Drosophila melanogaster: one gene and its partner. The protein of the gene in region 2 purifies or fractionates together with the protein of the main gene of each other region. This does not show direct contact. Each region holds a gene or a part of one and is shown on either strand. Other genes may lie near its edges. The genes, in order: orion and Cyp6a22.

What was found.
Region 1: the proteins of Cyp6a22 (region 2) and orion purify together in Drosophila melanogaster (affinity purification with mass spectrometry, with the first as the bait; one large-scale study listed by BioGRID). This does not show direct contact.

The regions. Positions count from the first base shown.
Region 1 is NC_004354.4:7,940,899-7,949,096, reverse strand, and holds orion (orion), read left to right. Parts: upstream 1-2,188; 5' UTR 2,189-2,420; coding exon 2,421-2,690; intron 2,691-2,877; coding exon 2,878-3,201; intron 3,202-4,411; exon of another isoform or gene 4,412-4,803; coding exon of another isoform or gene 4,804-5,178; intron 5,179-5,248; coding exon of another isoform or gene 5,249-5,413; intron 5,414-5,869; coding exon 5,870-6,588; intron 6,589-6,652; coding exon 6,653-7,039; intron 7,040-7,098; coding exon 7,099-7,393; 3' UTR 7,394-7,619; downstream 7,620-8,198. Other genes in the region: Ubr3 ubiquitin ligase, read right to left, coding at 1-1,682, 7,683-7,841, 7,902-8,198.
Region 2 is NT_033778.4:14,869,613-14,874,014, forward strand, and holds Cyp6a22 (cytochrome P450 6a22), read left to right. Parts: upstream 1-1,753; 5' UTR 1,754-1,917; intron 1,918-2,025; 5' UTR 2,026-2,190; coding exon 2,191-3,256; intron 3,257-3,323; coding exon 3,324-3,757; 3' UTR 3,758-3,853; downstream 3,854-4,402. Other genes in the region: Pcf11 cleavage and polyadenylation factor subunit, read right to left, coding at 437-619; Cyp6a17 (cytochrome P450 6a17), read left to right, coding at 4,368-4,402.

The DNA of each region.
Region 1 (8,198 bases), on a different chromosome or scaffold from region 2:
AAACTTCCGCCGGCACCCATGGCATTTGATGGTACAATATCCATATTACCGCTACTGGGTACGGCTACAGGCTGAACCCGCTGGAAAGGCAGGAGCATACCGCTGCCTGTGGGTGTGGTAGGCGAGAACATCTCATTGGAAGCCCCTGCTGGTGGTGTGGCCGATGCATTGGCGCCACCTCCAGCTCCACCTGCAATTGCGCCCATATTATTCGTTTCGGCTAGCAGAAGATCTCTCCGAATAGCCACCTCCATTCCGCTCTCCGGCAAAGTGATCTGCTGCAGCGGAAAGTGGAAATCGAGAGCAGCCGGTGGACTCATATCCATGGCATGATTGCCTTCTCTCAGTAGATCATCTTCGTTGCTATCCTGGCGGATAACCACACCGGTTTCGGCAACTACTGAAAGATCCGGTGGTAGGGCGACCTCCATGCCGGGCACTCTCATCGGCACCAGCGCCTGAGAGACATTCCTTCTGCTATGAGCTCCCATTCCCAGTCCAGCTCCACCCGTTGCCTCATCTCCTTCGGGGTCCCCTTGACCAATCATGCGCATCGATTGCTCTGGATCCGCTTCAACCTCAAAGTCCAGATCTGAGTAAAATGGGTTCGACCGATAGCTGGAGGTGATCACTTGCGGATCGCGTGACTTCAGCGACACTTTCTTGACCACGTGGCGCAGATTGCAGCTTAGATTGTCCGTGGGATAGCAGTGGAAAAGCTTGGGCGGCTCATGCCGTCCCGTGCCGTAGCCATGATAGCCCGGCCCGCTAGATGACTCCACCACAGCAGCCAGCGCAGGAGGGGCCCGATCTCCAGTTCCACTGCCAACATCATCACTTGTTTCCACAGCAATCTCTAAGAGGAACACAGCCAGAGCCAGCAGATGCTCGGAAACATCACGTGTGTGAACTGCACGGAAAAATATCGACAGGATGGTGGAGTGAAAGATGCGCGAGTTCAAAATCTTGCAGGGATCACTGAAGGAGCTCGTTGCGGGCAGAGCATGAGGCAATCGGAAGGGTGGCCATAGGTTACCACTTGCCGGCATCTTATCCTTGCTCTTCACATAGTTTGTAAAGCGGTCCAGCGATGATTGAAAGTCTCGACGATGAACTGCTCGCAAAAGGACGTGCAGCGGATCGTAGTGCTTCTCCCACACCTCGTCGATGGGCGTGAAGAGACCCTGCTCCAGGTTCTCGCTCCCACTCGACGGAGCCTTGTAAACCGATAGCTTCTTAAGGAAGGTCTCAAAGTTTTTGGTATGCACATTGCCCGACCGCTCCGGCATTAGTTCAAGGAGCTGCGAATGCGTCTTGTTCTCGGTAGCCAACAAGGCACTGATCTCAATAATGCATTGGGTGGCTTCATCGTTTCCCAGATTAGTGCGACTCGTCACCAGGGTGGCCAAGAAGGTTAGGAATCCCTCCAGCATCGAGGATTGCTCCGCCTTTTGAGGCTGCTTCAAGGGAGCTGTCTCCAGCCATTGACCTACGTCGAACAACTCGATGGTGTTCTGCAGAAAGAAGTACTGCGGCAGGTTGGTGGCACAGATTTGCAGGAAGAACAGGTCCATGTCGGCCATCGAGTTGCAGAAGTTCGCCTGGATATAGGTCATCGCTTGTCCCTTGATTTGGAGACCATTGCGCACCCATTTTCCGGCCAGGATCTCGTAGAAAAAACTCTAAAAACGAAGTAAAAATAAATTTAACATTTAAATTTAATTTTATATACAAATTTTATTCTATTCTCTTAAATATAAAAAATTATTTCACGCACATAATCTTTATTTAAAATTAATAAAAATAAAAAAAAATTAAGTAACCGTACACCAGCGAGTGCGATAGTTATGAAACATCGATGACTTGCGAGCAGACAAAGTTATCGAAACTCGCTGTGACCTATGCTGTCTATCTGCCCCTCCCCCTTCCCCGACAACCGACAAAGAACGGTGCAAAACAAAGAAACAGAGCCCGTCTCTCCGCATATTTGTGTCTGTCTGTGTGTGAAACAGGGTGTCTACAGGCGGCGGAAAAAGAAGGAAAAGAGACAAGTGAAACCCACAACTGTACGATTTTTTAATCAATCTCCGAGCGGCGAGAGCAGCACAGCAGATTAATCTGCCAACGTCGTCGAAACTCGACGCTCGAGCTCGAGACAAAACTCGACTCTCTGTTTTTGTGACTATCCTCCCATTTGCGTTTTGATTTTCAGCGGGCGCAGTTGCGTGCCAGCCCGTGTCTATCTGTCTGTCTGTGTGTTTGCTTGTTTGTGCAAGCATTTAATCATAATATTTAAAAGACACCCCACCATCGTCAGCACAACATCCCCAACGATCGTCAAATTTCGCGCTGCAATAAATAAATAAACATTCATATACAAAACGAAACCCAAATAGCACTCACGCACAGCCGGCTGCAGGATGAGATTTATAAATTGGGTACTTCCCCTGCTTCTGGCCACGTTGGTCGCCCTGCAACAGCCCACACTAACGGACGCTCTGATCGAGGATGTCCTGGACATCATACATGTGGTCAAAGAGGTCACCTCCGGCGTCCTCAAGGCCTGGGACATTGTACAATCCTCCCCGTTGGCGGCCAACATTGATTTCCCACTGATGCGCGAGAAACAGAAGAAGGTGTTGCAGCGCCTCAAAGAAGTCAGCAAGCAAATAGACAATACCGAAGATCAGGTGAGTCAGCGGCAAGCTAAGACCGCTCTTTAGCTCTTCTTTTGTGTACCCTTGCAGTGGGCATTGCCAATTTGGTGAGCTGTTTGCACCATAGATAATAGATCTAATCGCTTGTATGCTGCAAGGGTATAACAACCATGGCACATATCAACTGTATACCTAACCCACACAAAAAAACCCACTTCAGCACGCTCAATATGTTGCCTTGGCCATCGAATCGGTGACTAGCTTCATGCACAACAACGCTCCAATTATGGCTAAGATGAATGATATCTCGGACACGATCAATAGGATCTCATCGCGCTATCAGCAGATGCAGAAGTACGAGGCTTACAAGGACAAGTTGGAGATGTCCACGCTGATAACGTTTGCGGAGTGGACAGTGTCGCCGAATGCACATTCGGTGCACCATCTGATGGATCGTCTGCATATCACTCTACTTGGCAACGAGGATCGATCTTCCAACACAACGTCCACCAATCTACTCCAACAGCTGGCCACTGCCTATGAGGTAATATAGTTTATGTGATATGACGCTTATTACAGGCGAAAATTTTGGGATCATCGAACTTAAAGAGCATTTTTAGCTTGAGTCATTTTGAAAGACATTTTATCAACCGGCTCCATCCACTGGGATAACTGTAAAAGAAGCTAAATTTTTAAGCCAAAAAACGTATTAACCCAGAAGACAGTCAGAAAAAAGGAAAAGTGTAAACAACCATTTGCTTTGATTACATTGTAGGGTGCTTTGAGCTGAGGCATGCTTCACTGTAAAAATACGGATTGTGATTGGGGTGTCAATTTGTGAATTGCTTCCTGCATGCCTGTTAACCGGATGATTCACGAATGATGCTCGCCCGGGATATGATATAGGTCTAGACACGAGGTTTTAAGCATTGTAAACTCGACTTTCCGGTTGACGCGTCAGTTAAGTCGTTCTTTTTTTCTCATTTTTTTTTGGCAAAAGAAAGTCTTGCAGTGTATTAGTCACCGTTTCTTTTGTCGCCAAATAACGGTTAAGGCCTCTGCACGCACTCTCTCTCACATGGAAGGCGCACAAATGCTCCCATTTCTTGCGGGTGTGTGCGTCTACTATTTGTGTGAGGTCAAAGGTCTTGTGTCAACAAAAGACTGCGAAACAAGTTAAACAAAACAAAAAATACACAAACAAACGCCTGAGGGCAATGCAGCAGTTTTGCCCCCATGCTGCGAAAAAGAGAGCAGAGAGCGCATCTCTTTGTGAGTGCATTGCGTCACGAAAAAACGGAAAGAGAGAAAGGAGAGTGCTTACAACGCACTCACTCAGCTGTTTGCCATACCAATTAGACGTCAGCCGAAACAAAAACAATGCGGCCACAACTTTCTAGTTATCGATTGCTAGGTATGCAAGTGCCAATATGATCTCCAGTCGATTGAATAATTAAGCTAACTGAGTAGGGTATTATTGCTGTGTGTGAAACCGAAAAATCAAACGAAATTTGCTGAATTCCTGATTACTGCTCACACAAGCACAAGTGTTTTGTGTGTGTGTGTGTGTTTACGCTTCTCATATCGTCTGGTTGTTAAAAGACCAACAACAATGCATGAAAAAAGAGCTTCAGTCAGCAATTTTTTTTCGTATTGTATTTTCAACGAGCACACATCAACACGAACACTTACACACACACACAGACACAAACAAACAATCGCTGAGCGTGGAGCGCTTTAAAGCAGAAACTGAAAAATTACAGTAGCTGAACAGCACTCAGAACCACAACACCCAGCAGAGGCGAGCGGGAATTAAAGTAAATCGCAAATCATAAAAAATCGTGAAATCTCAGCTGTATCGAGGACGAGCATTCTAAAACGAGGCTCGGATTCTTTGTTTCCAATTGAAGGAAGTTGAAGTTGAAGTTGCGGAAAGCAAGCAGTGCACCCTGCTGTTGCTCTTCTTCTTGCCTTGCCCTTTCATTAGCAGCAAAGAAGTAAAACCTCAAATACGAAGTATAAATAGAAGAAGCAGAAAACCCAAGGCTAGACAAATTGGAAACATACAGGGATACAATACAGGGACAGGGAAATCCCCGTATTTTATATTCGCTAGCTGGATACATATCTTATCGGGCGAGTAAATATGGCGCCGCCTTTCGGATTATTAGCTGCTGTTGTTGCTGTTCTTGTCACGCTTGTGATTTGTGGAAATACAAAATCGGCGTCGTCCGAGGGATGGATGCACCCAAGCACCCCACAAATGGAAGTGGACGCTCTGCGCACCGAATACATCGCCCTGGAACGCGCCCTGTGGAATTATCTGGCCAAAACGGCCAATAGTCAAAACAATAAGGAAACACAGATAAGGAAAGTATACGATTCGCATCGCGATTTCGATGCGAAACCCCAAATGAGACGCACCTTCGAGGAGCATCGCTACAAGATCCTCAATCACTACGAATGGTCGCTATTGGAAAGGGATCTCATTTATATCAGCAAGCTTTACGATGCCTACAAGGTATTTCGACTCTTATACGGGCTGTTTTTTAGATAGATCATAACATATTAACTCCTAATTATCCGAATAGGACACCTTTGTCAAGCAGAGCAACAGCGTCGAACTGGATGAACTTGCCGTTTTAAATCTAGCCGGAGCAATCCTGCGCAACGATAACACCGCCTCAATGCCACGAATCCTGCAGGAAATCGAGCGAGTGATGGTTTCTCAGACCCTCTACTACCGAGCCATGATAGTTAGTTAACCCACCCATCAGCAATATGAAAATTTCAATACGTACAATATTGTTGTGATCATATGCACTTTAAAACATATGCACAAAATCAAAACAGGAAATCCCTTGTTCCTTATTGAAAGCGAAAAAAACCTCGCAATATCTGATCACATTTTAAAGTAGTAATTTTCAAATTAAATTCTCGTAAAAACATTAGATATCATATTTTTTATACGATTCCAAAATGCAATAGCTAATTTTACACCCCCACGCGATCTGTAATTACCGTTCTATAATAATAATAATAGTGGTATGGAAAAGATTTTAACAGCCAGATGTGATGGCTTGCTAATTAGAGCTAAAAACAAGAGTAACACTACCTGGTAAAGAATGCCAGATGGATAGAAGGAAAAAACAGCTGAATATTGATCATATTAATGAATTTCGCAATAATATGAACAAATTTCTTGCTTACAGGTGTCTACCGATCAAATTTGCAATACCATGCAATCGGCCCAGCAGTTTATATACTCACTATATGCGGATATAGCCCTGACCGAACTGAAAGCCTACACCATGATGGAATTCTCGTGGATGATGTTGCGGGTCTACGGGAAGGGCAACTACACCCAGGAGGCGGAAATCATGCGTTCCGAATATGAGAAGAGGACGGAACGCACACTAAAAATACTCAAGGATGTGATGCTACGAGCTGATCGTATCGTTTACCGCTGTGATCCGACGAAACATGTACGGGGAGTCACCTATGACGAGGTCACGCGCCTCCTTCAAGGCTACATTGAAAACGAGGTGGATTTGAATAAAGAGGAAACTTGCCGAGAGACGTGTGACTTTTATCAGTCCACCCGCAGTGAAGGCTGCTTTAAGGATCTCTACTGTTCCCGTCAGCCGAAATGTAGTGGTCGTCTGTACAACTGCAGGTTCGTAGACTCCGACATGTGGGTGTGCCCGTCGCCACAGAATAGCACGCGGCGCTATGAGTTCATCGAGTACGAAAACGGACGCGTCCTTGGCCAGCGGGGTAAGTGCACCAGGGGCACCACCAAGGTGGACAGCTGGTGGCGTTACCTTCTCTGGCACTGCAGCTACTGCTTCTGCCTGTGCGACGAGGAGGGTCTGAAGTCTGATCGTTTCTTCAATCTGCGGGACACGATCGCCGATGTCAAGCGCAACCGGTAAGTTCTAGTTGAATCTGTTGATTTTGAAATATCAACCACATATTTACTAATTATTCTTCAGAGTCGTGACTGGTTTGCGTTTTGTAAAGCAAAATCGCATTTTCCATCTGCAAATCCAGGAGGGCGAACTCCTGCCTCGTGGTATTGTCAATCAAAGCACTCTGGAATGGAAACCCGTGGAAAAGTACAACGTCTTTGATCGTCATGTGAAGAATGGCGTTGATTATCATAAGTTGAGCTACGAGAAACGCACCATCGATCTGGACGATGTGGATACGGATGACAATTCCTTTGTCGTTACCGGCGTGCGATTCCGTGTGGTGGGCACACATCTGAATTTGGAGGCCTACTACAGTGAGTTTGATTTCCGGACGGGTCAGCTCATCCGGCCGGAGTACAATAGCTATTGGAAGTCCAACGACAATACCGATGTCAGCGGCGCACGCAGGTAAGTGTGTCCTCTATTTTCGGATAGCAAAAACTAAATAACTAACCCCTTGATTTCAGGGAGAAACTGCGTCTGAGCAACGCCGACGTGTCTACGCGGACAATAGCACACTCGATACCTCTGTCGCGCCACAATCAGTACATCGACTTCACTAACACTGGACTGGACAAGGATGCCGCCCAGAGCACAGTGCCGTTTATGGACATCCAGGACGTGGTCTCGAATCCACCAGTACCACTAGCCGGCATTGGCATTTACTACAAGGGCCGCAACGGCTACGGCGGCTTCCTGGGCCCCAAGATCATCACCTACGACTTCATGCCCCACGTTCAGGTGCCAAAGAATAGATTCTAAAGCGGAGAGAAGCGGTGCTGTTTCCATCCCGCACATATGTCATAGCTTTTTTTTAGTTGTACACTACCTATCAATACACACTTGCGTTTAACTGTCGCATAGTCTAAGTGAGATCAGAGGAGAACGAACCGCAGGAGATGCAGAATCCGGCAAGACAAGAATATAAAAACAAATTATATTGAAAATAACAAAAGAAATAAAAACGAATGTGAATCTGAGAAACCAGAGAACCGAGGACCTTCTTACTATTTAAAGCGAAAATAAGCGAAATAAAGGATTGAAGACTCACCTGGACGCGAAGTGGATGGATCATCAGCAGGGGCAGCAGATAGGGGCGTGAGGGCAGCACATCGTTCAGACTGATTCCCATTTTAGTTACCGCCTGGCAAACAAAGGCAGCCAGATAACGATGCAGGGGAAAGTGGAACGAAGCCTGCATCATCTCCTCCTGCACGGATAAATAAAAGGATTTTATTGAAACTGCAATAAACGGATTGAAAATACCAACCATAGATAGACGCGCCTCCATAAAGTAAATAGAGTCTAGCCACTCGTGCAGCGTCGTCACACAGTAGTTGATGATCTTCTTTGCCAGATGGGCATGTGTGCCATCCTGCAGATGCGAGATAATCGACCACATGGGATAGGCACTGGCCTCAAGCTCACAGGAGAACGCCGCATAGTAGCTATTTGGCTCGAATTCCACATGAGAAGCCGTCTCGCGCACATTGACATTCATGCCCTGGAGCATCTGGAGAAACTGGAACCACATATCGATGAGATTGTCGTCCCGCAGAAAGACCAG
Region 2 (4,402 bases):
TTTCTCTTTTTATTTATTTTTCAATATTTTTTTAAAGGTTGTTTGTTATTCCTTAGCTTTAAACTCTGGGATCCAAAGTAGAAAGAAATAAGAAACGAGGAGCAGGTTGGTTAAACTTCTTACCTTTGTAGATGATTAAAATCAGTCACGGTTTATAACCCAAATTATGAGATATATACTAAGATTATTAGGAACCTATCTACCATTTGTGCCCAAGAGTTTGCAGAAAAACCCAACTGAAAGAACCGAGTCTTAGAAACGCATATGTGTGGCCTTCGTTGGGTTTCTCTGCAATCAAAGGGCAACCGCAATCAATAAACTGCACATTCTATCACAATTTCGATATGGAGAATCACTTTTAGTGTCGACCGTCTATTAGCTGTGTGTAAGCTGGAGTGTCTTTGTTTTTAAGTAAATACGCTTTTGTTTTGTTAACCTGGCTGATGTAATATTCCACCACTTTAACTATGATGTGGGCGTAGTTGATGTTCTCCTCGGCAAGCATCGTGAGCATATTGATCAATGGCTTGCTGTTGCAGTTGAGGTCCTGGAGACTTGACAGATACTCCTCGCCGATCCTTCGCTCATCGTCGCGGTAATTCTGAAATAGCTGCTCCATTGTGGACTCTGTATTCCAGATCTTGATCCGGATATTGATCAAGTTATTTGGTTTGAAGTAGTCGCAGTTGCTATGTTTCGACTGCAAGGGAAAATATAACAAAGTAATTAAATGACATGAAAAGCAAAGGTAATTTGTGTGAAAAAGTTTGCACTATTAATGGGATTTTGTCGGGATATTTTGGATGAATAATGTATTAAGGTTGCGATGTTTGTTAGCGATATCTTCATCTCTGCCCATTTTATTTGTAATAAACCGTGATGCACTGAAATCTTAGGCTGCACTATGTGGATAGATAATCCTGTATACAGCGTATCTATGTATGTAATTCGTACCAGACGTAAACAATCACGCGCGTCCACAAACACAAGGTAATCTCTTACATATATACACACACACACGTACGGAATGACGACGAAAATTCAATATGGCGGCCATGAGCATATTTTCGCATGTGTGGCCTGCCCGAATAAATTAACCAATAAAGTGCTTGTTTTTCCTTTCTGTACATCGCATTTCACGCTTTCACGAAATATTTACGTTTTAGTGAAACTATCTCGTTGCTTAAATTGATTTAACGGAGATTTTCCCAGACAAAGCCACGTTTGTGTTACCACTACATACACACGCGAGTTATCAGTTCGACTTCAATTTACTTTTTCGCGCTGCAGAACATTTAAAAACATACCTTTTTAAGCTAATACATTTGTACAATCACTGCCAGACACTTTTGCGAGGAAAAAATTTCACAAAAGCACTGCTACTATATAAAAATTAGCTTTTGAAAACTCTCACGTAACAACTGCGATGTATTTTTGATGACTTACACTTAAAAGTGTGGCCGTCGACGTGAAATGGAAATTATACATTTTATACAATTTTTATTTAAGGAAATATACTAAAAATATACCATTAAGGTATTTTTTGCATTAAACCGCGTTGCCAACCACTAGAAATGTTAAATTTTAAAGTGCCTTTAAAATTGCAGTATAACTAATTAAAAAAGAAATTAATGTTAGAAGTGTTTTATTTATTTAGTTTTAATGCAATATGCACTATTTAATTTTATAGGCGTTGCCAATTGAATTAATATACCACCAGGTGGCGGTAGTGGGCGATCCGAAAATTAGTATTGTTTCTTTAACTTCATTTCTTCTAGCCAAGTAACGGGTATCTGATAGTCGAGAAGTTCAAGAAGACTATATAATAAGTCTGATATTAGATCAGATAAAAAAAGAAAGAAAAAAAACAGATAAGAAATGCAAAATTCTTATCATACTTTTAATTACGCTCATATAGTAAGCAGAGAATAAATGCATATATTGCATAGACTTTTTCTTCAAGGCGGGTGTTCTACAGTTATCTCTCACTATATCAATTGCATTAACTTGAATCACCGTTAAAAGCTCGTCAAGTCCGAGCTTCAGTTCGATTTGTTTTCAGTGCGCCTAAATTCTATGAGACGAGGTTATCTGCCTAGGTCTGTTTACACTACTGCAGCTGATTGTAAGCGGAGCGAATAGAGGCGTTGGTCCAGTGTTCAGTTCATAGTGAATCTATTCGGGGAGAGGATGCTGGATGTAGTGGCTCTACTGCTTATTGCCCTGGCAGTGGGCTTCTGGTTCGTGCGGACGAGATATAGCTACTGGACCCGGCGGGGCATTGGCAGTGAGCCGGCCCGGTTTCCCGTGGGGAATATGGAGGGATTTCGGAAAAACAAACATTTCATCGACATTGTAACGCCAATCTATGAGAAGTTCAAGGGCAATGGAGCACCCTTTGCCGGATTTTTTATGATGTTGAGACCTGTGGTCTTGGTCACAGATCTGGAACTGGCCAAACAGATCCTCATACAGGACTTCGCCAACTTTGAGGATCGGGGAATGTATCACAATGAGCGGGATGATCCTCTAACTGGGCATCTATTCCGCATTGACGGGCCCAAGTGGCGACCCTTGCGCCAGAAAATGTCCCCCACCTTTACCTCAGCTAAGATGAAGTATATGTTTCCGACGGTCTGCGAGGTGGGCGAGGAACTTACTCAAGTTTGTGGCGAGTTGGCGGATAATGCCATGTGTGGAATCCTCGAGATCGGTGATCTGATGGCTCGCTACACTTCGGACGTGATAGGACGGTGTGCCTTTGGCGTGGAATGCAACGGCCTCCGGAATCCCGAGGCGGAGTTCGCCATAATGGGCAGGAGAGCCTTTTCAGAGCGTCGCCACTGCAAGCTGGTCGATGGATTTATAGAGAGTTTCCCCGAAGTGGCCAGGTTTCTGCGCATGCGCCAAATCCATCAAGACATTACGGATTTCTATGTGGGCATCGTTCGGGAAACTGTGAAGCAGAGGGAGGAGCAGGGCATCGTGAGGAGCGACTTCATGAACCTGCTGATCGAAATGAAGCAGCGCGGTGAGCTCACCATCGAGGAAATGGCCGCCCAGGCATTTATATTCTTTGCGGCGGGATTCGACACATCCGCATCAACGCTAGGATTTGCCCTGTACGAGTTGGCCAAGCAGCCGGCACTGCAGGCAAAGCTACGCGAGGAAATCGACCAGGCTCTGCGGTTACACAACGGTGAATTCACATATGATTCCATGCAGGAGCTGCGGTACATGGAACTGGTCATAGCAGGTGAGCCCGACTCAAAACGAATTTTAAATATTACAAAGATGATACCATTTACCACTGTATCTTTTAGAAACCCTTCGGAAGTATCCCATACTACCGCAGCTCACTCGGATCTCCAGGCATCTCTACGCAGCCAAGGGCGATCGTCATTTCTACATCGAGCCGGGTCAAATGCTACTGATACCGGTCTACGGCATCCATCATGATCCCGCCCTATATCCCGAGCCACATAAGTTCATCCCGGAGCGCTTTCTGGCCGATCAACTGGCGCAGCGACCCACCGCCGCATGGCTGCCCTTTGGCGATGGACCGCGAAATTGCATTGGAATGAGGTTTGGCAAAATGCAGACGACCATTGGCCTGGTCAGTCTGCTCCGAAACTTTCACTTCAGCGTCTGTCCGCGAACTGACCCAAAAATTGAGTTTCTCAAGTCCAACATTCTGCTGTGCCCCGCCAACGGAATTTACTTAAAAGTCCAACAGCTTAGCCAAATGAGTAGTTAGTGCTGCTTATTAAATCGCTATCTGGATTGTATTCTAACATTTAGTATCTACATTTTACAATGCTGTTATACAAATACACAATCAAATGTTTTTATCAATCAACGTAGTAGGTACAGTAAAACTGCTGTATATCTAATCAAGCTTCTTGAGCTTAATTTGTTCGATTAAATATTTGTATTTCGTCACTGACGTTATCTTAGCATTTCACCAGTTCCAGGGATTTTAAATAATGAAATCTGTTTTCCAAGTTTCATGCTTAATTTGTACATTTACGTTGGCAAAAACCAAGTTTGCAAAGAATGCAATAAAAATTACTGGAATTCGCTTTGTTTATATTTTTTTGATTGCGTAATCGCTAGATTGTTTATATACAGAGATTGTATGTATATAGATTGTTTGTTCATATATGTGTATACAACCATTTTAACTGCGCATATGATTCCCTAATTATTATTTATCACATTGAGAACAAACCTTAAGAGAACTTGAACGGTGAGTTTTGTGTGTGAAAATGAGAGATTGGCGAAAAGAGCGAAGTCCTCATACGCGAATGAGCTTGCGTTGTGGCATCCCACTTTAAAGTCAGTTTGTATTGGACTCTGGACGTGAAATGTTGTTACTGGCGCTAATCGTTGTGATACTATC